Mytilus edulis: one gene and its partners. The protein of the gene in region 4 purifies or fractionates together with the protein of the main gene of each other region. This does not show direct contact. Links are inferred from orthologs where the notes say so. Each region holds a gene or a part of one and is shown on either strand. Other genes may lie near its edges.

Evidence for each region.
Region 1: the proteins of sequestosome-1-like (region 4) and WD repeat and FYVE domain-containing protein 3-like purify together in Homo sapiens (affinity purification with western blotting; 4 studies listed by BioGRID and IntAct, with this or other methods). This does not show direct contact. The link is inferred for Mytilus edulis from reciprocal best matches to the Homo sapiens genes SQSTM1 and WDFY3.
Region 2: the proteins of sequestosome-1-like (region 4) and regulatory-associated protein of mTOR-like purify together in Homo sapiens (affinity purification with western blotting; 3 studies listed by BioGRID). This does not show direct contact. The link is inferred for Mytilus edulis from reciprocal best matches to the Homo sapiens genes SQSTM1 and RPTOR.
Region 3: the proteins of sequestosome-1-like (region 4) and BAG family molecular chaperone regulator 3-like purify together in Homo sapiens (affinity purification with western blotting; 3 studies listed by BioGRID and IntAct, with this or other methods). This does not show direct contact. The link is inferred for Mytilus edulis from reciprocal best matches to the Homo sapiens genes SQSTM1 and BAG3.

The regions. Positions count from the first base shown.
Region 1 is NC_092352.1:34,272,038-34,279,284, forward strand, and holds the start of WD repeat and FYVE domain-containing protein 3-like, read right to left. Parts: upstream 3,007-7,247; 5' UTR 2,878-3,006; intron 1-2,877. UniProt on the Homo sapiens protein: Required for selective macroautophagy (aggrephagy). Acts as an adapter protein by linking specific proteins destined for degradation to the core autophagic machinery members, such as the ATG5-ATG12-ATG16L E3-like ligase, SQSTM1 and LC3.
Region 2 is NC_092352.1:4,899,683-4,906,705, forward strand, and holds the start of regulatory-associated protein of mTOR-like, read right to left. Parts: upstream 3,023-7,023; 5' UTR 2,875-3,022; coding exon 2,725-2,874; intron 1-2,724. UniProt on the Homo sapiens protein: Component of the mechanistic target of rapamycin complex 1 (mTORC1), an evolutionarily conserved central nutrient sensor that stimulates anabolic reactions and macromolecule biosynthesis to promote cellular biomass generation and growth.
Region 3 is NC_092355.1:71,848,505-71,855,868, reverse strand, and holds the start of BAG family molecular chaperone regulator 3-like, read right to left. Parts: upstream 3,011-7,364; 5' UTR 2,914-3,010; coding exon 2,776-2,913; intron 1-2,775. UniProt on the Homo sapiens protein: Co-chaperone and adapter protein that connects different classes of molecular chaperones including heat shock proteins 70 (HSP70s), e.g. HSPA1A/HSP70 or HSPA8/HSC70, and small heat shock proteins (sHSPs), e.g. HSPB8.
Region 4 is NC_092351.1:5,214,352-5,222,172, forward strand, and holds the start of sequestosome-1-like, read right to left. Parts: upstream 3,016-7,821; 5' UTR 2,553-3,015; intron 2,038-2,552; exon of another isoform or gene 2,013-2,037; 5' UTR 1,793-2,012; coding exon 1,624-1,792; intron 31-1,623; coding exon 1-30. Other genes in the region: uncharacterized protein, read left to right, coding at 3,888-4,113, 4,676-4,771, 5,838-5,941, 6,283-7,290. UniProt on the Homo sapiens protein: Molecular adapter required for selective macroautophagy (aggrephagy) by acting as a bridge between polyubiquitinated proteins and autophagosomes.

The DNA of each region.
Region 1 (7,247 bases), on a different chromosome or scaffold from region 4:
ATATTTAAACATCTGAAAAATGTCGCCGGTAATTTGCAGCGATAACGTCGTAAAAGTCTGCCAGCGACGTCGTGCACTTTAACACCAACTTTGAGGTTACAAAGGGGTGGATGCAATTTTAAGGATAAATCGTGTTTAGCATAGAATCCAGCACGGTGACATATATTTTTTATTTGAGATTTGGAGAAAGCATGACAAAATGCAGTTTATGCAGAAAAATGACAAAAATGACATTTTCAGAAACACTTTATTTTCATATTTTTGGGATTAAAAAAATGCCACTTTGAACATCTGGTCCGCAATGTCAAGCAAAGCTTGAATAATTGTATAGTCAGTCGTGTAGGGATTTATTTTTTCCCTTATTGTCACTTATCACAGCTTCAAATTGAACCCGATCTTAATAATTTACGACGAAGAATATTTGCTCCAAAATTTTTATAACATTGCCTACCTTTTTTACAAAATTGCACAAATCCCCAATTTTTTCGAAAACGAGCACGGTGACCTATGTTTAATTTTGTGTTTTATTTTATAACTCGCCAAGGCCTACAACTTATTTCAAAACTATAAAAATGACATTATATCGAGAAACTGTATCGGATGCCCTTAAACAGAAGTCTTGAAACCTTATTGAGATTTTTTTGGTTTGGTTGCTAACAGAATTCCATTCATAGCCACAAAATTTAAACTAGTTCTGTTCCTTTATTATTTATACCCCTCGAAATTCTGAAAGAAGGCGGAAACTATCAGTATTTTTTTGTTGGTTTTATCTGGTAGTTATATAGAATCAGATCCATTTTGTCCAATCATTCTGCTAGATATGTGCTTTAATTAAGTTTTGATCAGTATTGTAAAAGACAAAATATTTTTAACAAACTGATTTACCTATGCTATTGAAAAACAAGATCAAGAAAGTAAGATTTTTCTTTACAGTTTTTTATTTTCAAATTAAAAAAAACACTAAAAGATCATCAGAGAGAAAGAACCATATGGATTATGTCACTTCAAAAGTATTTTCTACATTAACAAAATGAATCTACATTTGTGTACATTTGTACATGAATAATTACTACTGTTAAGTAAAGTATTGTCATATTAATAATATAATGGATTTTGTTAGAAAAATGTGTCTTTTTAAGTGCTTTAAATGAGCAGGGTTTTCCCCCGAAAATTTTTTGAAATCTAGATTCAAAATCCTGGCATCTGGTGAATTTTAAGACAATTTTTCATGCTTGTCAAATTGACATACTACCAGCAGAACTTTTTTTCTAAAAAATTTTGTCTGCACAATTTTAAGAGTTTGAATACTGCTATAATTTAAACGTTGACAAAATTGAGCATACTGTTCAAATTCTGTATTGCCCCTCAATTGATGTTTTCTAACTACTAAGTCTTAGTGTCATGATTACATGTATTCTTGTTAAGTGTGACTTAATTTTTCAAAATTAAATTATATTTTTGATTCTGTCTGACAGCAAATTTGATTTGTAAATATTCCTTTATCGTAGGAAATTTTCCGTATTTGCTTGAAGTATTCAGGCCTGTTGGGTCATATCAAATCAGGAGACAAATAATGTATTCCATGTCTCCCAATTTAGAGACATCTCTAGATCTGGAGGCTGTCTCCCGATCGGGGAATATTGACTAGCTGTCGAATCTTTGATCCAGCGTAGTGCATTTGAACCAAATTGACAATTATGTCATCGATTCATTCGCGACTATTAATAAAACACAACAGAACAAATTGAAAAATAATGCATGCAAACGTTATAAATTGTTTTATCATAAAAATCCACACCTTTGTGTCGCTTAGCGGGGAAAAAATCTGTGATGGAACATTTCATCGTCAACAGTTCAACAACAAATGAAAGTTTTTAACGACCTTGACATTGCATGACTTGCATATTTACTCGATATCTCTCGGAATAAATCATCTTTTATTGTTGACATTTCAGCGCAGTCATCCGATAACATTTTTTTTTATAGTTCCGGCTAATCTTTTCCGATTGGCCGAGACTCTAGCGCATGAATTAGATTAATACGCTGTTGCTAAGGACCTTAGAAACTAGCGATAATTTTCATTCTCACTCTACAGATTGAAATAAACAACAATTCTATGAGTAGTATGTAATTTCAGAGCGTACATGAAGTGGACAAGATGAGTTGAACACCTGAATTTGTCTTCTTATCTGTGCAATTTTAAGTTAGGCTTGTTACTTGCATTTGATTGATTCAAATTCTTTCAACTACGGGAATCCTCTATGTGAATTGCCCTCCGACATTTCTGAAATTTATATACATTAACTTCCCTCATCCTTGACAGTTTAGGTTTGTGATATTATTACTTAAGGGTTTGTAGTAATAACATATTGTTTTAAAGATGTGAAGTTTGATTATATTAAAATAATGTTTGAGCTAAATCACTGACAAAAATGTCACATCACTCTTCTTTGATTTATGAATATATAAACTTTCAAGTTTTTTCTGTTCACTGTTGTTCTCTAGTCCAAATAATTATGACGTCTTGAAAGGCTATTATAATTTTTTTCTTTGACGCCTTACATTAAGGCTTCAAAGAAAAAAATTATAATAGCCTTTCAAGACGTCATAATTATTTGGACTATGTTGTTCTCCTGCAAAAAGTGAGTTGATAATGCTAAGACTGAAGAAGTAAATGTTTTAATGTGCTGAAGTTGTTCATAATTGAGTGGTAAATATTTGTAATTTTAATGTGTCTACAATCTGCAAATGTATGATCGATTTTCATTTTCTGTTTCAGCAGCTGAACAGTGATGGAATGTACAACTGTTGAATGAAGTAATTCGACGTGTTTCAGACTAAATATCAAATGTGCAAAACTAAAAATTGTGGGCATACTTGAATTTGATCTTAATGTCAATCTGTCATTGAACATGTTATGGTAAATTCAATATTTATACAGGGTTGTGTATTTTCGCCATTGCGTCTGATTATTATGGCAAGTTAACTTCCGTGCATCTCATTTCCGGTTTTTTAATTCCGTCAGATGGCGGTTAAATAGGCGAAGTCATAAAATGCGCGAAATTCAAACTATCCTTTGGAAAAAACAATAAGATAATACTCTCTGATATTAAAGTTCCCTTTGTGACCTTTGTTCATTGAATCTTACAAGTTGATTTCGTATGTTCGTTTTACTTACCATAAAGTTTGTTCCTTTGTGATATTTTACACACTGTGTACATTCAGGCCTTTAGTCTAGAGTTTTTCATAGAACAAGGTGATGTACAGTAACTTCACAAAACATCACAGTAACTTCAACTTTTATACAATAATGGGGAGGGGGTTTTGTTTTTTTTCAAAAAAAAATATCTTCTGATTCCCAATTTGATGGGGGAAAAATTGTGGTCAAGCAGATAAAAAAATGTTTTGAATCCAGACTTATCCCCATTCCCACTGCCCATTCCTTGTAACAGTCAGGGATCAACAGCTAGGATACCCCCAAAAAAAACTCATGATAGAGTTGGGGGCCCATTTTCGCCATGGACACATTTTCGCCATTTTGCTATTTTTTTCTGTAAAATTTGTGTGCCTTTAATTTACCAGTACTTGCCTAAATAGATTGTAAAATCTGTTTGAAATGTTCGAACGGTTGATATTCCTCTTTAACCCCATTTCAAAGGTTATTCGCACATATAAAGAAATATGCAGGTATTTTTAAACAATTTTTGGCTATTATGTAAGGTTTATATGGCAATCATGCACACCGGCAGTCTTAATGTAAATATTTGTGAGAAAAATCGTATAGGAATGATCTCTCACGCTAATTACAAACATCGTTTTTTATAAAATACCAGGATAATGAGGATGGTCATACCATACATTGCGGCGAAAATGTGCCTCACATGGTACACGAACAACTTGATTTCCTCTCGAGTTTGCGTTCATTTATAGAACAATTAACTAATGTTTTGAAGATAATTCCTTTATCAAATATTTTTTTCATATAGTTAAATTTCTGAAACCTACATAAAAAGTTCCAAATATTCAAATGTATGTCGGATGTAAGTGGAAATGAACTAATTATGCGGCGAATATGGGTTACTCACTCTACTGATAATTATGGAAGCCAAGAAACTATTGGAGAGTCTGCAGAAAAGAGTATTGCTGATAGTTATGATGGGGGTGTTTGCCATTCTGGTATCAATTTTACTAATGGAAACCTGTATGGTAGAATTTTAAAATCGTGAAAACGTCCCTCCTGATACTGATGATGGAGACAACCTTGATCTTGAAATTCAGACAGATAAAGATATATAGGAGGAAATTATGGAATTTTAAAAGAAGAATCAGATGATGAATTTAAGAATTTCTGGTGAAAATAAAACAAGAGATGCTCGGCTACTTGAAAGGCAATGTGAACACGTACAAAATAGAATTCATTAAGCCAGAAAATAAAAGAGGTGATCAGCTATCTATCTATTAATATAAGAACAGCCAATGATTTAACAGTTATAAACAAGTCAGATGGTGAGAGTGGAGATACACTGTTTAGTCATATGGATTTACAGATGATGAGGCATTACTAGACAACTGGAGAACACATAATGAAAAAGTTGAGGACAATGGTAAAAACTGTAAATTAGAACTGTGGGATAATGTTATGGAAGAATGAATTGCATAAATGATCTAGACTGGTAGAAAAAAGTTTTTAAGACTTGATGTGTTTGAGCTTTTTATTTTGCCATTTGATAAGGGACTTTCCGTTTTGAATTTTCCTCGGAGTTCAGTATTTTTTTGTTTTACTTTTTAGATGAGATCCAGAAAAATTCTCAAACGTGTAAAAACAATCTCTATGACTGATATTGTCAACAATTGCCAGTAAAAAAATTAAATCAGTGAACATTAAAACTGGTTTCCGTCAACGAGAAAAGATACAAATAAACTCATCATAGATACCAGGATTAAATTTTGTATTACACCAGACGCGCGTTTGATCTACAAAAGACTCATCAGTGACACTCGAATCCAAAAAAAAATAAATAGGCCACATAAAATACGAAGTTGAAGAGCATCGTGATTAAAATTCCTAATCGTTTTGCCAAATACAGCTAAGGTAATCTATTCCTGAAGTAGAAAAGCCTTACTCTATCAAAAATTCAAAAGTTTGGCAAACAATTAATTTATAAATATGACCATATCAATGATAATTCATGTCAGCACAGAAGTACTGACTACTGGACTGGTGATACCTTCGGGGAATTAAAACTCCACCAGCAGTGGTATCGACCCAGTGGTTTCAAATAAACTCATCATAGATACCAGTATTAAATTTTGTATTTACGCCAGATGCGCGTTTCAAAAAGAAGTCTAGCTACTTGAGACCTCCAAAGAAGGTAAGGTCTGGCGCCTAAATTAACGTGTATATGAGCTTGCTGAAATTGTGTAAAACAACACTGTTATATTGTTAAGCAACAGTATCAAAAAATGATTTAACAGTGTTCAATTGACATGTCAAAGGCTTGACTTGTGTCTAAGCAGTTTAATGTAGATGATTTTCTTTGGACAGGATCCAGTTTTTCGAGAAAAAAGGTGTTGTATCCATTCCATGATTAGTGGTCTGTTCGAGGATTTTGAAATAGTGCTGTACATTTTTCAAATATTTGAGACTAGATCCAAAACCAAGACAATGATAGATTTGTTTTAAGCCAGAATTACTGATGACTATGTCATAATGCTGAAGACAGTTTTAATAGATAAGGACAGGGTAAGAGCCGCCAGAGCAGACTTTATTGGGGTCCAAATAGGACAATTACTATGATAAACAAACATGTCTAGACATTGATTTTGATGTTGCACGTACACACTAGAATACAGTAAGCCAGAAAATGCAAGAGGTGATCAGCTATATAAGAAGAGCCAATGATTTAACAGTTATAAACAAGTCAGATGTTGAGAGTGGAGATACACTGTTTAATCATATGGATTTACAGATGATGAAGATGCACAACTAGACACTGGAGAATACACAATGAAGAAGTTGAGGACAAAGGTCAAAACTGTAAATTAGAACTGAGGTATAATGTTATGAAAGAATTGGAGATTGAATTGCATAGAAGAGCTAGATTGGTAGAAAAAAGTTTTTAAGACTGCTCAGTTTTTAAGACTTGATGTGTTTGAGCTTTTGATTTTGCCTTTTGATCAGGGACTTTCCGTTTTGAATTTCATCGGAGTTCATTTTTTGTTTGTTTTACTTTTTAGATGAGAAATAGAAGAGTTCTCAAATGTGTGAAAACAATCTCTAGGACTGATATTGTCAATTATTGCCAGTACAAAATGTTCAATCAATTCAGTGGACGTTAAAACTGGTTTCCGTCAAAGGAAAAAAAGATACGAAGAGAAGTCTACTCGAGACATCCAAATAAGCTAACGAAAATGGTAAAGTCTTGCGCCGAAATTAACGTGTATATGATCTTGCTGCAACTGTGTAAAACAACACTGTTAGACTGTGGAGGAACAGTATCAACAATTGATTTAGCAGTATTCAGTTGACATGATGACAAAGGCTTGACTTGTGTCTAAGCACTTAACGTAGCTGGTTTTCTTTGGAAAGGATCCAGTTTTTCGAAGAACAAAATGGTGTTGTATCCTTGATTAGTGTTCTGTCATAGGTTGGTAAATAGTCTTGTACATCTTTCAAATATTTGAGACTATAAACTAAGACAATGATAGTTTTTTTCTAATCCAGAATTACTATGTCAGAATGTTGAAGACATTATTAATAGTTAAGGACAGGATAAGAGCCGCCAGACCAGACTTTATTGAGGTCCAAATAGGACAATTACTATGGTAAGACATACAAACATTTCCAGATATTGCTTTTGATGTTGCTGCTGTTCCATAAGACAAGCATAGTTGATAATGTTAAAGTCAATAAGATAGAAAGGAAGATGCAACATGATCGTGTGTCAATGCACTTTCATTATCTTATACAACATATGGAAATAAACTAATCATAGATACCAGTATTGAAATGTTATATTTGACTAATGCATATTGTTCGGTGATGCCTCGTGTTGAAATCTTTCAGAATGCTGAAGCCAATTCGTTGTCTTTTTGATAGACGATCATTGAAAAGTGGACCAAATTACTTGACAGTCTAATACAGTGCGAATGATTTAAGCTTTGGTCGTAGGTAATGGATTGTGACTTGTAATATCTCTAATAGTTCTTTTTAATTAAATATCTATGGAATCATTCCCTTTTCAAAA
Region 2 (7,023 bases), on a different chromosome or scaffold from region 4:
TTCAATTTAAAAGATACATGTAACCCAACACTATACCCAAAAAAAATCCTGTCGTTTAATTTTTCTTATTTTTTTTCATTGATAAACTAGGCCAACCTGATCGTGAACATCTTGTAAAAAATTTAAAAAATTTGAACCATAGGTTAAAAAGATTTGGCAACTCAAATATGGCATCTTTTACATACTAGTAAACTTACGATCCTTTTCAATTAAGATTGGAGTCTATAGCATCTGCTACCAGATGTTAAATCCAAAAGTCACACCTCAGTGTTTACCGTTGACTGGATAGTGAAACAGTTGGTGGACTACTTTAATTGTCACACCTCAATGTTTACTGTTGACTGGATAGTGAAACAGTTGGTGGACTACTTTAATTGCTCATTGTTTACTGTTGACTGGATAGTGAAACAGTTGGTGGACTACTTTAATTGTCACACCTCATTGTTTACTGTTGACTGGATAGTGAAACAGTTGGTGGACTACTTTAATTGTCACACCTCATTGTTTACTGTTGACTGGATAGTGAAACAGTTGGTGGACTACTTTAATTGTCACACCTCAGTGTTTACTGTTGACTGGATAGTGAAACAGTTGGTGGACTACTTTAATTGTCACACCTCAGTGTTTACTGTTGACTGGATAGTGAAACAGTTGGTGGACTACACATTCCCACCAAAAGCCCGTTCGCGCCCAATTTTAAATTGCTTTGATGTAAATACTGCATGTATTAACATGATTAAAGGCTTGGTATGATTAAAAAATTGAAGATTTTAAATGAAAAACACGAAAGATATAAATTGTTATTACTTGAAAAAAAAACAGAATCTCACTTTATCTGTTTATTTTAAAGCAATGATATAAAGTTATAGCAATACACTAACCAAAACATGATAAAGAGTTATTCAACACAACAACAAAAAAAAACGTTGACAGAATCTCACTTTATTTAGAAACTGATTTTTTATTTAAACAATACATTACACAATCCAAAACATGATTTAGATTTATTCAACACACAAAAAATGATGAGACATAAAGATTTATTCAACATAAAAACAAAGTTTTGAGACAATGACAAAAAATTATACTTGGAATACAGTGGAGTCCCCGGTGTCCGCGCGGCCGGTGATACCGCGCATTTGCTGATATAGTTATATCAACACCGTAACACAAATGAAATTGTTCTTGTTATTGTTTTAGCATTCCGAAGGGAGAAAAAAGAATAAAATAGATAAGTTCCAGATAGAAATAATAACTGCAATCCCGTGATTTACAATATTTGGCCAATGGCCATTAAAAGAAATTCAGCATCAGATAAAATTTGTTATACTTAACCCTTTCGCCGATGAGTCCCGGTTTACCGGGATTTACGCTTCAGACAGCTGACGATGAGTCCCGTTTTACCGGGATCAGAATACATCTTTTATATTTCCCGCTCAAAACAGTGCAAACATGAGTTATCTTTCTTTCATGAATACCCGGATGAAAGTGTAAACATGTCGCTTCCGTTTGTTGAAAACCTTGTCAAAATCGAAGGAAATTTACGGAATTTACGAGAATTTGAAATGAGGGAACATTTTTTTTGAAAGAATATGGAAGAATTGAAGCCAAACTAGTATACTTTTTTGACATAAAATGTCGTTTTATGTACAAAACACTTGGAATGGACATCGTTCAGTGTGAGGAATTTGTACAGTCTCATAAATTTTTACAAAATTTTGCCGTTTTGAGTTAAAAAATTACGATTTGGGGTCAAAGAGCAGAATTTTGAGAATTTCACATAAATAATGCCGAAAATTTGAAAATTTGAATATTTTATGATAAAAAAATTATCAAAACATAAACAAAACTGTGAACATTGTGTTAGTGAATGAAATAAATACACAAATAACTACAAACAAGTTTTTATTGACATTTATTATGAAGATCTCCCACTTGAGTAAAAGTAGCCAGGGAAGCTATCGTCTCAGAGTAGCTTCTGTCTGGGCAGCAATCGGTGAAAGGGTTAAGTCAATTTTTTATCAAATTGAAATAATTTTTGCTCTGCATCATTGGCAGTGTGCTTGGTTTGAATTTAGCTACCTTTTGTAGCAGCAAATCTTTCCTCTATTCAAAATAAGCTATTTTTGGAAGGCATGCGCGAAATCACCGGACATTGGAGGAACTCTCAGAAATGGGTTTCCCCAATTTTGGAAACCCATTACACAAAATCTTGAGGGTGAAACCCTACAAACTGATAAGTTTATGAAATAAAAGTATGTTATGAATGTATTCACACAATATTATCCAATTATTGGTTTTATCAGTTAAATGAAGTGAAGACATAAGTCTTAGGTGCGCGGATACACCGGACTGCACCGTACATATGTAAAGGAATACACTTGGCAAAACTTAATTACAAAGTCATTAAACACAAAACCAATGAAAATAACTGGGCGCAAACGTGTAGAGTGCTAACGGACTCTGGGTGCAAAAGTGTAGGGTGCGAAAGTGATAGGGTGCGAACAAGACTGAGCGTGAACGTGAATGGGAGCGAACAGACAGGGATTTGTGTGTCAGTCTCATCTCATAGCATATAAAATCCAAATTGGCCATACATGTTGTACAAAATAAGACAGCCTTTTTCAATGAACATCATGAATCCATTATTATTGCTATAATTAAATAATTGCTGGTATAAGTGAACATTTTAGATAGAACAGCTTTAAATTATGGAATATGCACCCTTTCTTTCATTCTCCAAGTCTGGGTAACTTTCTTTGACCCTTCAATTTTTTCCCAGTGACGAAGTTCGTTAAAGGCAACGAGAACATTCCAGTCGGACAGCTCATCATCTTCATCAATCAAAGGCGTCAGTTCAAAATCACTTGACATTTTGAATAAAGAGGTTTACAAATATGTTATTTGCAATTATCTCAAACTGTCAATGTGATGGAAAAGAATAAATTTGACAGAGTAAGGTGTCATGCTTTTTTCATCGGCCATGTTTACTTTTTTACATTCGTAGTCTCTAATTTAGTATGATATAACAGCTTTATTCCATCACATTCGATTTTCGTTATATTGTAAAATATTTTTATATTTTAAATAGATTTTGATATATTACATTTCGAAATCGAAAAGTTAAAGATTGTTAAAGACTATTTGTGGTCGATATCGAAAGTGAAAGTACAAGTTGTAAAGGCGGGAATTATGAGTAAAAAAATCGAATCAACGACAACTCGTCCTTCTTGAAATCGTCCCACAACAAATCGACTTATAGTTCGTAAAAAAACCCACTCCATTCTTCTTTACCAACTCGTCCTACTTAGAAAAAAAATAACGACCACAATAATCACACGAATTTAGGACAGAAAGTCACAGGACAAAAGGTCACAGACAAAAAGTCAAGGACAAAAAGTCGCAGGACAAAAAGTCACAATTCATTTTTTCTGATTATTTTCTTTGAATAACAAACGATTATTTTTACAAAAATATTTTTGTATTTTTCTTGAACTTTTGTACATAAACCAACTTTGTTAACAAATATTTATAAAAAAATATCAAAGATCATAGTGCCAAGAAATCTTTCATTTGCATGATTAAAATTAAATAAATCCTAATTTTTCAAGCATAATGACACATTTCCTACACTAAAAATGAATATATGTATTTTTGTCCTACCAAATTTGTGACTTTTTGTCCTGTGACTTTCTGTCCGTTTAACTAATCACAATACAGTGCCACCTTTCTGGGACGTACGTGAGCATATGGCCTCAGCCCCTATGGATGAGGGTATGGATGGGGGGGTCTGTTATTCTGTAAACATTTAATTTTCACCCCATTTTTCTCTAATCTTTAAAAAATTAACCCCTTTTTTCTCTAATCTTCCAAAAATTAACCCTTTTATTCTCTAATCTTCTATTTTTTGGCTCATTATTCTCTAATCTTTATTTTTTAAGGGCATTATTCTTTAATCATTTAACCCCATCCAAACCCTCATGGATTTTACTAACCCTCTATGGATCCGTAGGGGGTCAGTACTGTAACAAACCATATAACTTATAATAGTTGACACAGTAAATGTGGGCGAGTTGATAAAAAAGGGGGGTTTTGCCAGTGTGTTGATTTCCAGTACAGGATTGTTCCTCTTCACCAGACTCGATTTCTCCCCTGAACTAATATAATAAAATCAGTGTAATAAATCTCTTCATTCATCCAATATTGTTTGTGACGTCACTATAGTCGTTTTTAACCGAGACATTGATGGAGGAGGCTTTGATTTGTTGGTATATATATATATATATTGACACTGACAGTTTGTTTCCTATAGTTTTGGCTATTTTTAGAGACAAAGAGAGTTTTATGATACTTGATTGTAACAAACTGCAGGGTTGGTTTTAGTGTTATACTGGTAACTAGGCCAATTGAAATTAATTAATAGATTTTCATCCCCGCCCGCCCCTCTGAAATCGTCCCGCCCCGATTTTTTTTATTTTATAAAATTTACGATTTACGGATTTTGTTGGTTTCCGTTACCGATAACCGTGAAAAATTTCGTTTCAATTATGACTTCCTGTTTCAAATTTCGGTTTTGTACCTCGAGTAAATCTAACCAAAATGATTGTCGACATATTCTGCTGCTCTATGATGACAACATCATCTTCTGAGAGTAAAAACTGATAACGATAATGAAGTTAAATATTCGTGTTACGAGAAAAACGCTGTGTCCTAGACCACAAATCGCGGCCATGTCACAAATTTCTGTGATTAGAAAACTGAATTTTTTTATGCAATGACTTTGTGTCAGGAAGTTTAAATGAGAAAGATATCCCAAGCGCTAAACTCGTGGTACCCATTGATACAGAAAACATGACTGGATTAAGGATATTGAAACACAAACACGAACTTGTATATTGAGTTTAAAAAGTCGACTAACATACGCTTTTTATTTACACATGCCCTTAGATTTTAGCCATGACTGTCTTTTCTTGTTGATTAACAGAAATTGTCCCAATACCCAAAAAGGGTAATTAAACAACAACCTCTTTTTTATTATTAAGTTCACATGTGTTTTACATGGTAATTATATTTTCATTTTGCATAAATGCATAAGTACCAACCCTATTATTTTCAACACTGTTTGAGTTTTCTAGTTCTGTACTCATAATAATTGTGTTGCATACCAATGCATTTGCTTCATTTTATGGGGACTAAAAACCATCGTTTAGGAACCCAAATTCATTTGGTGTAGAAGGTCCAACTGAAGAGATCATTTCTACACGTTTTTGTTGTTTAGCCGCAATTAGAGACATTTATTTTAGGATTTGAAAAATAACGTAAGATTCCTCATACCTGTGCATACATGATATAAGCTTATTATTACACTTGCATATATGAAGAGCTCGTCACAAAATGGTTTCATATGAAATAAAATTTAAAAAATAAAATCCTCCCACCCGCCCCATTTTTTGAAAAAAATTGGATGAAAATCTACTAATTAATTTTAGTTGGCCTTACAAACAAAATAATGTTTTTTTATCACTGTAACATGGTTTGTCACTGAGTCTTTCTCTCTATAAACTCTTAACAGAAGAACGACCTCTGTGATAACAGAAACTAGTTCTATTCAGTTCTGATAGCCTTAATGGTTGCAATGAACGAAATGGTATATACATAAGAAAAGGGGGGGGGGGGGTAATATAATGCATCATATGTCGTTGCTGTGGCGTTTGGTGTATTAAAAGACACACATATTAAAGAAGAGGTTCGCATTGTTATGATAAAGAAAAAGAACCAAAAGTTCAAGACAAATTACTATTTAGACATTAACGTTACAATTAAACATTTATTTCAGTCAATTAATTTCTAAATATTAAAACAGCTGCTGATATTTTTTCAGCATCACATTTGATTGATACTATACATGAATATTAAGTATATCTAAGTTTAATTTAACTTATCAAAGATATCAACATTATGAATTTAGTAAATTACAGGTCTATATTTATTCACATTAAGGCGAGACCGCTTTATATAACGATGCTATGGCAACGTATCTTTCCTAGTTATAATAGTCAACTTTAAATATAATTATAATTATTGATATTAATAATGTCTGAAAGTTAGGGTTAATTATTTATTCAGTTTAAGAACTGATGATTATGTTCAAAGTTATATAATGAACATATTCACCTGCTTGTGATATGTTAATTTGATTTAATACTTATTAGAGTTTTATTCTATCAGGAAATAGTTAATGATTCAAATGCATGTAATGATTAAGAGATAGTTCTTGATCTATTAAGGGGTGTTTAACGGCCATGACTACTGCGTTGAAAGTTTCGCACGACCGGTGATTTTTGCATTTGCCAGTTGAAATTTATATCGTTGAATCTGTCATTCTTGTGTGACGTCGTTTTATGTATATGGTTTTTTTTATTAGCCAAAGATAGTCATACTAGACATATTTATGATGAAACTAATTGCTGAACGCATAGGGTACTGTCTTCACTTTAGGTTAAAATTAAAGTATGCATAAAAGTTGAATTATTAACTTGCAAGACAATTATACACAGAATCCATGTTGTCTTTTTAATTCTTAGCTTATTTTGAGGGAATTTAAACAGCGTGACTGCTAATGGCATAATACGATTTCTATATCCCGCTTTTTGCGAACAGCGGCATATACTACTGTTGCCTTTATTAATAAGTATCTGAACTCCCAAATCATAATTTTAATTGTTTGTTTAATTCGTAACTAAAAGATATAGGACGATGTGATATGAGTGCCAATGAAACTACTCCATCCATGTAACAATTTATAAAAGTGAACCATTACAGGTCAAGGTACGGCCTTCAACAACTTGGCTTACACCGAACAGCAAGCTATAAAGGGCCACAAAAATTACTAGTGTAAAACTATGGAAACTGGAAAACCAACGCTTTAATCTATAAAAAAGGGGGATGCCCCTTTCAAATAGTTTTTATTGATATGGTGATATGAAGTAAATAATCCGACTCATTTGTAAGAATTACTTTTCA
Region 3 (7,364 bases), on a different chromosome or scaffold from region 4:
GTTCCTATCCGTAGTTTACACAAAAATGTGCAATGGCGGCCGTAGAAAATTTACGAAAAATGAGTCCGAGAATAAACATTGTTTGACAAGAGATTGTGAATGAATAAGACGCTTTTAATGCATTGAATGGATTTAACATAAACTTAAGCCAATTATGATAACTTGTTACAGAAGTATTAAACTTATTTTAGCTCTAAACCAAAATTCTCGCTCTCGTATTACCGGAAGAGAAAAAAAGTTATTTTTGGAGAGTTGCACAAATAAACGATCTTTAAAAAAATCAAAAAAATCGTTTCAATCTTTGAAATTTCGTAATACAAAACATAGATTTCGAATTGTTTTGTGATTGCATTTTTCCATGTCGAAATTGGTGACACTTGGTTTAGTCACAAGTGTCAGCTTGGGATATTCACATCCAAACAGTTATCACCCTGAGGGCAATTAACACCTAGCTATTTAATCTCTTAATTGCCTTTAGTGTCCGACTTAAAGGGATTACAATTAAAGGTGATATAATTTTTATGATCATAATCGATGATAGATGAAAGTTCAAAATTGAGGACAAGTAAAATAGCATCTTCAAAATAATTATAGCGTCGCGGGAATTATTATAGCATCACGGTGAAAAAATATTGCGTCGGCTAAAACGGCCTGGGGAGAACACTGAGTCAATCTCTACCTCTGTTTCCATGGCTCATGTAGATAATCTGTCACTTGGACAAACCTATAATAGTACATTAAATTTAAACTATGATTTTGATTTTGTATTTACATTGTGTCATCTGGATTTAATAAATTTCTTTGTTCAGTGTATGTTCACTTGTCTTGCATTTATAAGTTAAGCCATTTCAACTGATATTCTATACATGTAGTACATGTTTTTCTATTTCAGGAAAGGGTGAAGGTTGGTTCCTATTAAAACCTTTATTACCCTCCTGCTGCCATTTGATTTTCAAGGTTGCATTTTGTGTGCTAAAAAATATGACAGCTCAACGTCTTTGACTTAAGATGTCCAACAATATGCAATAATATCTGTAACACTTGGGACCCATTGATGAAACATACATTTTTTTATAACCATGTTTGATCTTTAGATTTTCATTTGAAAAACATACATCACTGTGGAGAAGCTTGCATGAATAAAAACATGGACATATGTGTCCCTCCGGCACAGTCGGTGTGGACAGTGACATGTGTCCCTCCAGCGGCAAGAGGGTTAAACCCATTGCATTTGTTTGCACCTGTCATATGTCAGGAACCATGGTTAACTTTTACAAGTTGTGACTAGGATATGGAGAGTTGTCTCATTAGTACTCATAGCACATCTTCTTATATCTACATGTACATTTGTACCATGAACCACAGACTTGTTTAGGTCTATTTGTGTTGATGAAAAAACTTAATTTCACTTGGTGGCCAAACTACACCACCTATGACAGCAAAAACCTGTCTGAGAGTTCACAAGGACTTGAGCTATCTATATTTAATTGTCTAATTGAACATCCTTACTAAACACAGATATTTTACCTCATTAAGTGTGGTTCCAGGTGGTTGCATTGTAAGGTTAATTAACATTATCTCCGATTTTTTAGACTCTCATTCATATTTTTCTTTAGAAGACAAAGCATTGTCTTTCAATGTTGTCATTATTTGATTTAGATGCATGACCTCTAAATAAATATGCGTGGGTCTTGAAGTTAACCAATTTTGATCACTTATCGACTTGTAGGAGTCGATATTTGCCACTTTTTGATTCTGGTCAATTATTTCTTGCTTAACAATATTTGACTTATTAAAGTCGTATTTTGTCTTGCATTAAAGGGAGACAAATCCTAATTTAAAACTTGCAAATTTAGACCTCTATGAGTTAAAAGCAGATTCAGACTTATTTATAAATGTCTGAGCTCTGACTGGTATATATGGATTCTATTTATTATGGAAAGGCAAGCTGTAAATCCAATATGAGAACATTGGTTAAATCCATGAACATGATCTTGACAGCTTATGCCCCTTTAAACATATTAAAGTTGTATCAGTGTATTGCAAATATTTTCAGTGTAGGATTTGTGCAGTGTGACTGTCTGTTGGTTAGTATGATGTCACAAACATGACAAAGGATAAGCAATGACCTCAAAAATTTTAAGTGTCATATACTGCATTATACTATCTGAAATATCAGATTGAGTGTTGCAAATTCATCACAAAGGCCATGCATGAGGTGTTGTAATGGGAGTACCTTCATGACGAAAAACGGTAAAATTCTTGCCAAATGACGTTAACGGTAATTTTATATGTATGACATAAAATGTACACTTTCTTTTAGACGATTAAACATCACGTTCTTTTATTTCCAAAATTGACAGCAACAATTATTGTTTGAGACCTCTGACGAATCACCATAAGGATATTTTGACGAATTACAGTAAATTTTAACCAATTTGAAAAGTAATGGAAGCCGAAAAATGACTGGTTGACGCCTGACGTTAAAAGGCGTTATTACCCTCATGCATGCACCAGTTGTGAATCATCTTTATTCAGATGGAAGACTGGAAACCTTAGTGAAGAAGACCCCCATATACATTTAAAGTAATAAAAATTTAACAACCCCACCCCCTGAGACACTCTTTTGAACACAATTCCGTGAATTTAGATTGTGGTGTTATAATGTACGAGTTCCTGCTTTTATCACTTCATAAGGCATTACAAATATATATATATTTATATTAATATGCTGATTTTACGTAGTAAAGACTTCAAATATAAGTGTAAACATACCAATCTCGGATCTTCCCAGCTTGTATTCTGTGTGTTGTGGTCGACGTAATATGGCCATCCTGTCCGTGTATCGGTCAGCATTTCCCATCCGGGAGGTAGATCCATCATTCTACTGTTTTGATATTGGTTATTGTACATTTTTCGAATTTACAAGCCTTATATAGCCAGTTTCTTAACTTATTCTCGACTTGGCTTCAATGATCTAGAACAATCGACTAGGGCGACACCTAGAACATTCCGGAAATTTAACTCGGATTTTTAGTATCACTAACTATAATAAGTCTAGAGAAATGCTAATGTTAAGGGGGAACAACTCATTCGTGTAAACATGACCTGGAGGCGGGGTTCCAATTGGGTTGAGCTTATTTATAAAACAATAATTAATAATTGAGTACATACACACAGGCGGGCTTGGTGCAGAAAAAACATTTTTATAAAATTTTTAAATAAAATGCGGTATGAGCCAACATTACTTTCATTTTCAATATTTCAAACTTTTGTGTCAAGGAAATTCTTATGTATACATACATATGTTATATTTAGGCTAGCTCAGGCTATTACTAATTAAATGATATAAATGAGTGATCCAACTCGGTATAAAAAAGACATGACTCATGTACTTTAACTTAAACAGCGAACATTGACTTCATTTCATATATTAATGAGACAGCAACCCCGAAATAAAACGAATGTTAAAATGTTGTTACTGAACTTAAACTATACATGCTATAAGTTACATGTGTTATACTGTAACGTGACAAGATGAAATCATAAATATTATTTTTATTATACAGAATTTATAAGTGACAGCGCATGGCATTATTAAAGCTATACATGACTTAAAACGCGAAAAAAGTCATGGTCCAGATGGTTTGTTAAACGAATTTTTCATCGAGTTTAAGGACCTTGTGCTGCCTTATATATGTACCATTTTCAATGCCGTTTTGAGCTCTGGATATCTTCTGTCCACTTGGTCTGATGCTATTCTAGTGCCAGTATTTAAATCTGGGGATGCGAACCACCCAGCAAATTACCGTGGTATAAGTCTAATGTCAGCAATCTAGGTAAACTATTCACTATTATTTTGAATAGTAGCTAAAATGGGCATCAATGAACGATATTTTATCTGATGCACAATTTGGTTTCCGTACTGGTTACAGTACAGTAGATGCTGTGTTTTGTTTATATTCTGTCATACAAAATTCTTTTTGTAAAGGTAATAGATTAAATTGTTGCCTTGTTCACTTTTTAAAATCGTTTGATACAGTTGATCGTCTATGTTTGTGGTACAAGATTTCTAAATAAGGAATCAGAGGAAAATTGCTTAATATTTTAAAATCAATGTATAACAATGTAAGATCTATGTATTATATTTGATGGATTTAATTCAAAATACTTTTCTAATAATCTTGGCTTAATGCAAGGGGAAGTTCTTTCCCCTATTTTATTTTCATTTTATGTCAATTACTTTGAGAATGAATTTATTAATAATGGTAACTGTGGACTTGAATTTCAGGACATAACACTTTTTTTTTTTATTGATGTATGCTGATGATATGATTTTGATGTCAGAATCAATCCAAGGCTTACAAAATAATGATATACATAAAAAGTTTATCAAGAAATATTATTGAACTAGACCGTCAACTTATAAATTAGTACAATTGCTTTCTGTTGAAAACACTAAGGAACTCTGTAATTTAGGAAAGTACTTACTCTAGTATGCATTTAAGTGCAGGAATAATATTTAAGGTGGTACCTAACACTACAGGGAGATAACTCTGTAAAATCTGCTAAATGTTTTAATAACGTTGTGTTGTTAAGGGAATATTAAGCTTCTCAATGATCAAAATTAGTGTTTGTCAAACTGCTATATAACCAGTGTAATTTTTCTGATAAAACGATTGGTTGAAATATTTTGAAATTTTGATATTTTTGTCAGAGGGTCAAAGTAAATACTTTGTTAAAATTTTATGAAAATTAAACGAGCCAACTTAATTTTAGTGGAAGTGTTGGGTACCACCTTAAGACCTATGTTTATTATATGTAGTCTGAAACTCACAAAATGTATAATATGTAACTGATATTTCTGACGTTTTTTATTTATGTGTATGTTAACGCTATACAACTTGTAAACTGTGTATTTAAGCATATTATACTGATAAACTGTATTGTTTAAAGTAAATAAAGAATAATGTTTGAATACTTAGTAAATGAGAATTTAGGTTTTCATAATTTGGACTATAAACGAACAGTATACTATACATGTAATAGTACCAGGAAAATATTAAGTTCAACGTTATTAAATTTAAATCATGAATTATGGTATAAAAGAATATTTGAGTACGCGGGAACATTGTTGTGTGATGCGGTCCTGCGACTTTAATATCGGCATTTGGACTGAGGAAAAAGAACTGCAAATAAGACTCTTTTTTAAAGCAAGTTTGAATAGGCAATGTTTCATGACGAGAGTTTCTGTATCCACTTGTTTATATTTTTTTTAAATGTATATTATAACTTAAATTTATATGATCAGAAGCTTAAATTTTCATAATAACTTAAATTTATATTATAATTTAAATGTATATCATAACTTATCATATACTTAGACTAAATAACATACGATTTTTACTGTATGATAATAGCATTAAGTTAACGCAACTTCCATATTTTTCGAATTAGTGCTTAGCGGGCTGATATGAAAAGTTTATCACATGCTTCGATTGTTATCACATGCCTTTCCGTAACGTTATCGCGTGGCATTCCGGTGATATTCGGCAAATTCCGGAAATTACACCTCAATGCTACGTTTTCAGTGAAAAACATTGATTTACAAAGTAGTGCACAAAACAATATTTGAATACTTGAAAGTATATTGTGTAAAATAATTACAACAAAAAATTAAAAAAAAATCCCAACAAACAAATTACTATATAAATGCATTTTTTAAAAGTTTCAAACATAATTTAGAAAGTTACTTGAAGAAAAGCTGACTTTTCCAAACAGTGTTCATTATTTATATTGTTGAATTGTTTTTTGTTTGTTTGTTGATTCGTCCATTCAAAATATTTTTCTTCTTCTTGAGGCATATGATAGAAAGATTTCATATCGAAAGTATGAAATTTGGAGTCCGACGTCCGTGAACTTTTCACTCTTTGAACTTCTATTTGGGAACCACGTAAAAGAATGAATATATGATTCTAGCTGTTATTTTTCTCCATTGTTGAAGCATATGATAAAAAGATCATAACATGTCATTTTGGATGAATATGTGTTTGGTGACGGCATGTCCATTTGTCTTGGTCTGATATTGAACTAGGGCCGATAATACATGCGATATGTAAAATGACATGTAATAATCTGATATCATACCACGATTTGATTCATTGAATAAACAATATTGTTGTAAATAAAACCAGATGCTCCGCAGGGCGCAGCTTTATACGACCGCAGAGGTTGAACCCTGAACAGTTGGGGCAAGTATGGACACAACATTCAAGCTGGATTCAGCTCTAAATTTGGATTGTGATTAAATAGTTGACACAGCATAGGTTTCTGACACAGAATGAATGTGGTCTAATGAACTTAAAATATTTTTTTTACCTTTGAACAATTCACTATGCTGTTGAATATTAATCCTCTCAAAAAAATGTTTGAAGAAATTTTCTTTTTATTTATGAAATCTGAAATGAGAAAAATTTAACCCCCCCCCCCCAATTTTTTCACACCCCAATTATTCAATTTTTGATGAAATCAAACAAAGTTTAATTTTGGACCCCGATTTGGACTAACTTGAAAACTGGGCCAATAATAAAAAATCTAAGTACATTTTTAGATTCAGCATATCAAAGAACCCCAAGGATTCAATTTTTGTTAAAATCAAACTAAGTTTAATTTTGGACCCTTTGGACCTTAATGTAGACCAATTTGAAAACGGGACCAAAAAATAAGAATCTACATACACAGTTAGATTCGGCATATCAAAGAACCCCAATTATTCAATTTTTGATGAAATCAAACAAAGTTCAATTTTGGACCCTTTGGGCCCCTTATTCCTAAACTTTTGGGACCAAAAACTCCCAAAATCAAACCCAACCTTCCTTTTATGGTCATAAACCTTGTGTTTAAATTTCATAGTTTACTTATACTAAAGTTATGGTGCAAAAACCAAGAATAATGCTTATTTGGGCCCCTTTTTGGCCCCTAATTCCTAAACTGTTGGGACCTCAACTCCCAAAATCAATCCCAACCTTCCTATTATGATTATAAACCTTGTGTTTAAATTTCATTGATTTCTATTTACATATACTAAAGTTATTGTGCGAAAACCAAGAATAATGCTTATTTTGGCCCTTTTTGGCCCCTAATTCCTAAAATGTAAGGACTAAAACTCCAAAATCAATCCCAACCTTCCTTTTGTTGTCATAAACCTTGTGTTAAAATTTCATAGATTTCTATTCACTTTTATTAAAGTTAGAGTGCGAAAACTAAAAGTATTCGGGCGCCGACGACGACGCCAACGTGATACCAATATACGACCAAATTTTTTTTAATTTTTGCGGTCGTATAAAAATCTTGGACATACTATA
Region 4 (7,821 bases):
TAGAAAAGGCAATCTGGTCACCCTCCGGATCTAAAATAAATAAGATAGGTACATGTAATTCCTGATTAAGTCTGCCCCAGAAACTTTAAATATCTCAACAATTTTAGAACAATCTGCAATGGGTTTTCCACTTTTTTCAAATAAATTGAGTGTCTAGATAAATTATATTAGGGACATAATATATAGTCAGCATACTATTCTCAGATATTAGTAATTGTTTCCTTATAGCTTTCAGTTTCAATAGTGTTTTCCTTGTAAACATGAGGAAATTTTTATATATATATATATATTCATGTTCAAAATGTACATGAACTCATTCATTGTCTATTGTGGAAATTAACATGCATTTGTTTCTGTTTCAATCAATCTTATTTTTTAAACATAATTAAGATTAATTGAACAAGAGTCAAAAACATTTAAAAATTTCTTGCATTTATTGAAACAATGACTGGAAAAAGAATTATAATCTTGTTATAAAAAATTATTTAAACATCTGATCACTTTAAAGTCATAAGAAACCTCAAATCAAAAAAAAAAATAATGCATATGATTTTTATAACTCAATGGATAGTTTTCATTATAAAACTTATGTACATATACTTTTTTCTGAAGAAAATTCTTTAATTTATTCATATTTAGAAGAAGTTTACTTTATTTGAATAGCTTCCTTCCAGCAAGCTATTCCCCCGACATATTTTCCGTATGCAAGGTGACCTCAGTGTGACCCATCTCGTAAAAATCCGGTGACCACAATACGCATGGATGTCCTTAAAATAAACTATTATCTGAATTTACATGTTAAACACGTGCTCAATTTCCATGCTTTTTTGTTTATTTTTCGTCAATTGTTGACAAACAGGTGACAATCGTTAAACTTCGGCTTCAAAACACGAACTTTAATTACCTGCCATATTTTCACAACAACACTGACCGATTGAGAAAAAAAATTGACAATTATACGAAATTTACACGAAAAAAATGATAAATTGGAGCACAGAAGACGAGGTTTAGGATGTTTGTATGCATTACTTCAAGAATTGGAAGAACATTATTTTTCACCGGTCACTCGTTTCTTATGACTTTAAATTCAACAAACTAATAATGCAGCATTTTAAATTGCAATAAGCCTGGTTTGAAAGCAGGTCAACTATTATTAGACAAATTATACAGGATATACATTTTTGTACAGGTATACAACATTATATATATATATGATGAAACATCAAGGGCATTTAACAGAACATAATAAATTACATAATTAATTTTAAACTTAACCAAAAGTAAAATGGAAATTCAAAATACCTAGACAAAATAAATAAACCTTTTTACAGACAGCATTTCAATTTATAAAAGCTTCCTTTCATTGCATAAATTGACATATTGCATCGAAAATATGGAATATATCAAATCCGTGAAACCATCAGTGTTATATATATATATGACAAGATTGTTTTTATTTTCTATCCTATTTACTACATGTAGCAATCAGTTTTATAACAGCTGCATACAACCGTATACAGTTAATCTTTTGGTTGCCTATTATAGTATATCATGTTATGTACAAATGTACAGGTATATCGCTTTTGTAAATAGTGTAAATTAAAATAATCAAAATCAACTTACCAGTCCAATATAGATTAAAATTTCCTTGCTTTAGGGTAGGATAAATATCCGCCACTTTCTTCTGAAGATAGCTGAAGCTGCTTGAAACATCAGCAGGCACAGCAAATCTACGTATTTCTCTCTTTTCCTCTCCTTTATTTACCAAATAGGCTTTTACTGTCAATGACATCTTCGCGGGAAATTGTTGTTGTTGACGTTGTGTCCACTTTGCTACCAAATAGAGTTATGTCTAAATTCGTCAACTCTTCTCTTTTTATAAGCCCAAGTTGTCAGGTATGAATGACGATGAATCGACGAAAGATTTAATTCCAGAACCAACTAGACCAGGTAATTGAAAGTAATGATGACAAACATTTGTTCAAATATGAGTGTAATGCGCAAGTTCCGTTCTGAAAAATATCAACAAACAACGATGTCATGTCTATTTTTAGTAGCACACATGTTTCCTCTTTATGCAACACAAAATGACACGACGAAATTGAACAGAGAATAAGAAACTTATGACCATGACGAATACGTTATTCTTGAATTTCTGACATACAAACAATTAGCAATGTCAATTTCCATTTATATCAAATATTTTTTTTCACATTGTATCAAATATTTGTATAGTAAGATTTGTTAGGCTAATTTGTCACAAATTGAAAATTAAATTATAAACGATTCTCTGGGGAGGAGTAGATAGGAGATATATGTTTGTGTCGATTCAGATGATGACAAGGATTATGAAAAAATATAGCTCATATAAGAGGGACCACCCCACCCTTTTTCGACCACTAAATCCATCAGGTGTAAATCATATTCATGAGAAACTGTATTGTTTTAATTTATTTCACTTTTACATTTTCTACGTTTTGCTTGACAAGCTATTCATTTTCATTCTATGTTTTGTTTTTTATTTGTCAATGTTGAATATAAGCAGTTCCTACCAGGCCAACCGCAGTATCATGATATGCAACTCCCAAAGTACTCTTGATCTCCGTATAATATGGGTCGCTCCAATATTTGGAGAAAATGTTTTAATAGTAAAACTTTCTATAGTAGGCTCTTCAGAATAAAATATATATATAGTACACACACAGTGACATTCTCCCCCCAGTCCTTCTTTTCTTTATGTTGAGTCCTACTTTTTAAGAGAACTCTATAATCCTGAAAATTTCTGCAAGGATTATTTATATAACTCAAGTGTACCTTGAATTTCATAAAAAAAAAACACCAAAAAAACATATGCCCATCCGTACAAACTAGAAATGGATCAAATCGGCCAAATATACAGAGTTGTAAATAAACAATATTCCTAAAAAATATCTGATAAAACTATTCCGTTTTCCTTAAAAACAACTTATATAATTATCGTATTTGTGTGGTGTACTTAAATATGTTTGTTTGTTTGTGATATACTATTGTGTTAGTCTAAACAGTTTTGTTTTAAAAGGGAGTGAACTTTAAATAGTACAATTTCTTCCCGTTTATTTAAGAACCCAAATGTAAAAAAAGTTCAACCCTCCCCAAGTTCACACACACACAAACTTACATACATGTACATATCTTGATCATGACTAGGAATGGATGAATTTTGTGATTATCTTTTTTTTTTTTGCATGTTCTCTATCATATTTAATGTGTATCTTTTCAATTAAGTAAGGCGCTGCCGTGTACGCTAGTTTGATATTAGTTGCTTATAAACTAGTTATGATATTTCGAAAATTTTCATCACAATAAACCTGATTTTCATCACAATAAACCTGGTCAAATATTTTTGGAAACCCTGTTTTGTCGGTTGCATGTGAATGACTCGTGACCTTTCAGTTTTGAATTTAATATCAATAAATAAATATGTTCCTTGTTTCAGGAGATAAAAAAAAGTAATATTTGTTAATAATGTGTATGTTGTTACCTAGTAAGGCCCCTCAAATGTTCTGTAACCTTAATTTTAAATAAAACGTTTTAAATCGTTTAATTGCTCCTTTGATAAATTGCCAAATTTTTCTCTTTGATTCTTTACAATCCTCTTTCGTCTATTCATCTACCGCGTGGCTTATTGTAAACCTTTAATAAGTTGAACAAATACAATCCTCTTTCGTCTATTCATCTACCGCGTGACTCACTGTAAACCTTTAATAAGTTGTACAAATAGAATGACGTTATTCGATTTCATCTAATTTAAAAACCGTTGACTCATCATCACGAGGTATTTCATCGTTGTTCTAGAACATTCTTTTCATCTATTTTCGTCTATGACTCACGGTCATGGGACATGTTAGATGAATGGTATAAAAAGCGATGATTCGTTTAAATGCGCATTTGTAGCGACGAAAATAAAGTTCGAATCAACTGTGAAAATGCCGCTCGTAATTAAAGCAGCCTTTATTAAAGAAGACGAAACCTCTGAATTCCGACGATTTACTGTCGATGAAAATTTGAGCTATGAATTCCTGAAGAGGAAAATTACCAAGATTTTCACAGATAAATGTGAACTAATGTGGAAAGGTAAGTTAACATATTATAATTAACTCAGGTAAATATACACATATATATATAGATAGATCGATGAAAGATAAGTAAATATAAGTTATTTATATAGAAAATATTTATTTAAATAAAGACAAAATATGTATATATTGAAACTGTTTGTTTATTAATTTATAATGTCAGAGCTCTAGTATAATGGAAAAAAATAATGGACGGAAACGTGATTGAAATAAAATGTGCTGCTCTTTTAATTAAATAAAAGTGATGAACAAAAGAAACTTTTGAAACTTGCTGTTTTTTTGCCAATTAAATCCGAATTAAAAATGTGAAAAATGCTGGTTTTGTTTTATGCATGGGGAACTATTTTACCTATTTTGTTCAACTTATTTAAAAGAAGAGAGATAATGTACACCCCTTTTCAAAACTTATGTGATCTGTGTTGGAGTGAAATACGTGATCAATTATAGCAGTAAAAGCTTAGGGTTGCCAGTGTCTGCATCGTAGGCCACATGCGCATGATTTTATAATATTAATTTCATAAAACAGGGAGTAATTAATCACCATGTTATATCAATTGTAGATGCTGATGGCGATCTTGTCTCATTTTCTTCAGACGAAGAACTACAAGAGGCGTTGGAAGGTGTCTCCGGTGGTATATTTAGAATGTTCGTCACAGGTAAGCCATTTGATTTATCGTATATGCAGTTCATGTCTAGTGCCTGAAAAGGTAAAAAAAAAAAAGATAAAGACTTGAAAAAATTAAAAACATAACTTATTAAATATAGATTTAAGAACTATAAATTCTGTTAAGAGATTTTTATTGATACAGAATCCAAAATCTTGATACAAACAAAATCATATTAGCTGTGTCATTTTTTATAAGCATGTATATGTTGGAATTTTCCTCGTTATAGAAATTCTTTTGCTCAAACTTCGGTCTCTTTTGTTCGTTTAACATATCAGTGCCGAATATAAAATCATCGCACATGTATTAGATGTAGGATTTTCGTATCCGAGGGCCGTCAGCCCCGAAGATATGAGACATCTACATTTGAATCACATAGAAGTAATAAACAATTAGTTTATCATGTCTCTTGTTCTTGAAAGAGCAATTGATTTTGATAAAACAGAAATAGTTTCATGATCTGTTAGGCTCTGATCCTGTCCATAACGTTATAGTATGGTATTAGTTTTCTGTTTTGCTTTTTCCAATCATATCGTGTTGTAAAATGATGCCCTTTATGGGTTCTTGATTAGATTAATAAAATTCTTAAAATAAATTCTTATAGAACATCGTTCATAGCTATGGACATGAAATGAAATCCTAATTGCGTCTATTTTTCACGGTCATCAGAGGCGGATCTAGACATTTTTATAAGGGGTACAATGTCTGCCTAATAGGGGGCCGCTTTAGTCATGCTTCAGTGGTTCCCTATATAATCAACCATTTTTTCCAGGATACCCCTCCCCTCCCCCTAAATTCGCCTCTAAAATAGTCATTAAATTGATACGCTTATATCACTGCTTTTGATTTGCAATATGCATCGCTCTACTATCTTGTCTTTTTCTTGTTTAACTGCAATTAGAACTTTTTGCTGAATTAATAATGACATTATTCAGATCGAAATCTCGATTTTACAATGTAATTTTTGTGTGAAATATTTGATTCATGAATATTTTATGTGGGTAAGTTTATAATGTATAGTTCAATGCATGTTAAATTATACATTTATTTATTTCAGTTGACCAACAGAAATATATGAAAAGTGTACCCCAGCTTAAATATTGTAACACAGTCAATAAACAGAAAGAAGCTGGGAGAAGGCTGCACAAAGCTCAAATGATGGTAAGTAAAATTAAGATAAGAGGAACTTCCAACTTTCTTATTTGCTTACCGAAACAAACTGAATGATCAACTAGAAGCAATTAACCAATTTGTAAACGATGAAAAAAAACACAGACAGAAACTCAAATACGGACTTCGTAGTCTTATAAATGTGTATAGCCACATATCCATCTGAATACACCCTATTTTATCACACAAATCATGTTTTGAAAGTAATTTATATACATTAAATTGTTTAACATCCATATAAATAAAAAGACGAACTACTCTTGCGTGCAATATAAAATTAAATTCTCAGTTGAACTTATAATAATGACCTATTTTTCGTATATTTTTTGTAGAAGTCTCCTGATTTCAACGTTGACCAGAATAATGGGCGGTCTATATTCAAAATAAGACCAGGTAACTATGAATCTGCGCTTGAATCTTTTAGATTTTATCATCGTCGTCATGGAAACAAAATGCAGAGGAAATCTAATGAAGAAATGGAAGCCTGGTTTAACAGAAGACAACAAAAATGGTTGAAGCGACAACAAGAAATGGAACATTCATTAAACACAAGAACTGAAGGCCACAAGAATCAAAATGGTGAGAACGATCGTCTGCAAAAACGCATCTGGCGCATAAGGAACAAACTCGCACATTTTGAAATTGGAGATTTGACTCCAGAATCCACTAACCAGGAAGGAAGTATGAATTCAGGACCTCCGTCTACAAGAAAAGAAAAGGTGGGCCGTGGAAGATTCGGACGTAAAGAAGGCAAATTTGGTAAAGATAAAGACAATGCAGTGATAAAACTGAAACTGAAAAATCATCACCGTGCAAGAAGTTGTCCAAGTCGTATCACTGGGACAATATCTAGAGCAGTACAATTTGGTCGGTTTAATGCAGGGAGACGGTTTGGTAAATTTGGTCCACACCATCATACCGCGGAATGTCATGATCGTAAATGCCGAAATGGTCACCACGGTGACAAACAATTGAGAAATGGTCCGTTTAAAAAGAATATACGCAAGATGTTCGTCGAGTCACAAGATAAACCAGATGAGTATATAAACGATGAAATGAAAACTAAGCGTCGTTGTCGTCGTCAAGAAAATCTTGAAAAGAAAATCCATTTCCGACAGATGCGTGAGGAAAACAAGAAAATACCAAATGCATGGAGGGTGAAGCAACGAGGGTTAGGAAACCGTCATGGGCGTGGCATGAACTACTGGATACCAAGACGAATGAGACTTCTCAACAACCTGTCAGAACTGGAAGAGGAGAAGAATTTGGTACAATCTGAACTGGAGCATGGATGTAGACATACTCCAGGCGGCTCTATAGATTGTCTACACAAAGTCTAAACAAAAGTTTAAACCACCTTTGTGAACTTTTCAGTATCACTACAATATTATAATCATGTAACAAAATAATGTTGTTTTATTTTTTTATGATAAATGTTCAATAGTGAAGGGATGTTTTGAGAGATCAGTTTAACTTTGACAAACTGTATTTTATGTGTAGATCATTGTAGCCTTAAAGAATTCTTCATCTGTAATTTTATAATGATAGATATGAGATTAGTCATTAAAATTGTTCATTATAACTATACTTCTGGTGTTTTTTCCTTGTAAAAGAAAACCTCTAAATATGTTCTTATTTACTTCTTGCGGACGGTATAGTCAAATAGCTTTTTAATGAAATTCCTACAATATAAAAATTTGAGATGTGATATGATTGGCAGTTAGGCAACTATCAACAAAGTCCAAATGATGTGGATGTAAGCAACTATATATATATATATGTCACCGTACATCCTTTAATATTCAGTAAAACCTATGCCGTATAGTAGTCTGCGATAAAAGGTCACAACATGACAAAAGGGGAAACATATC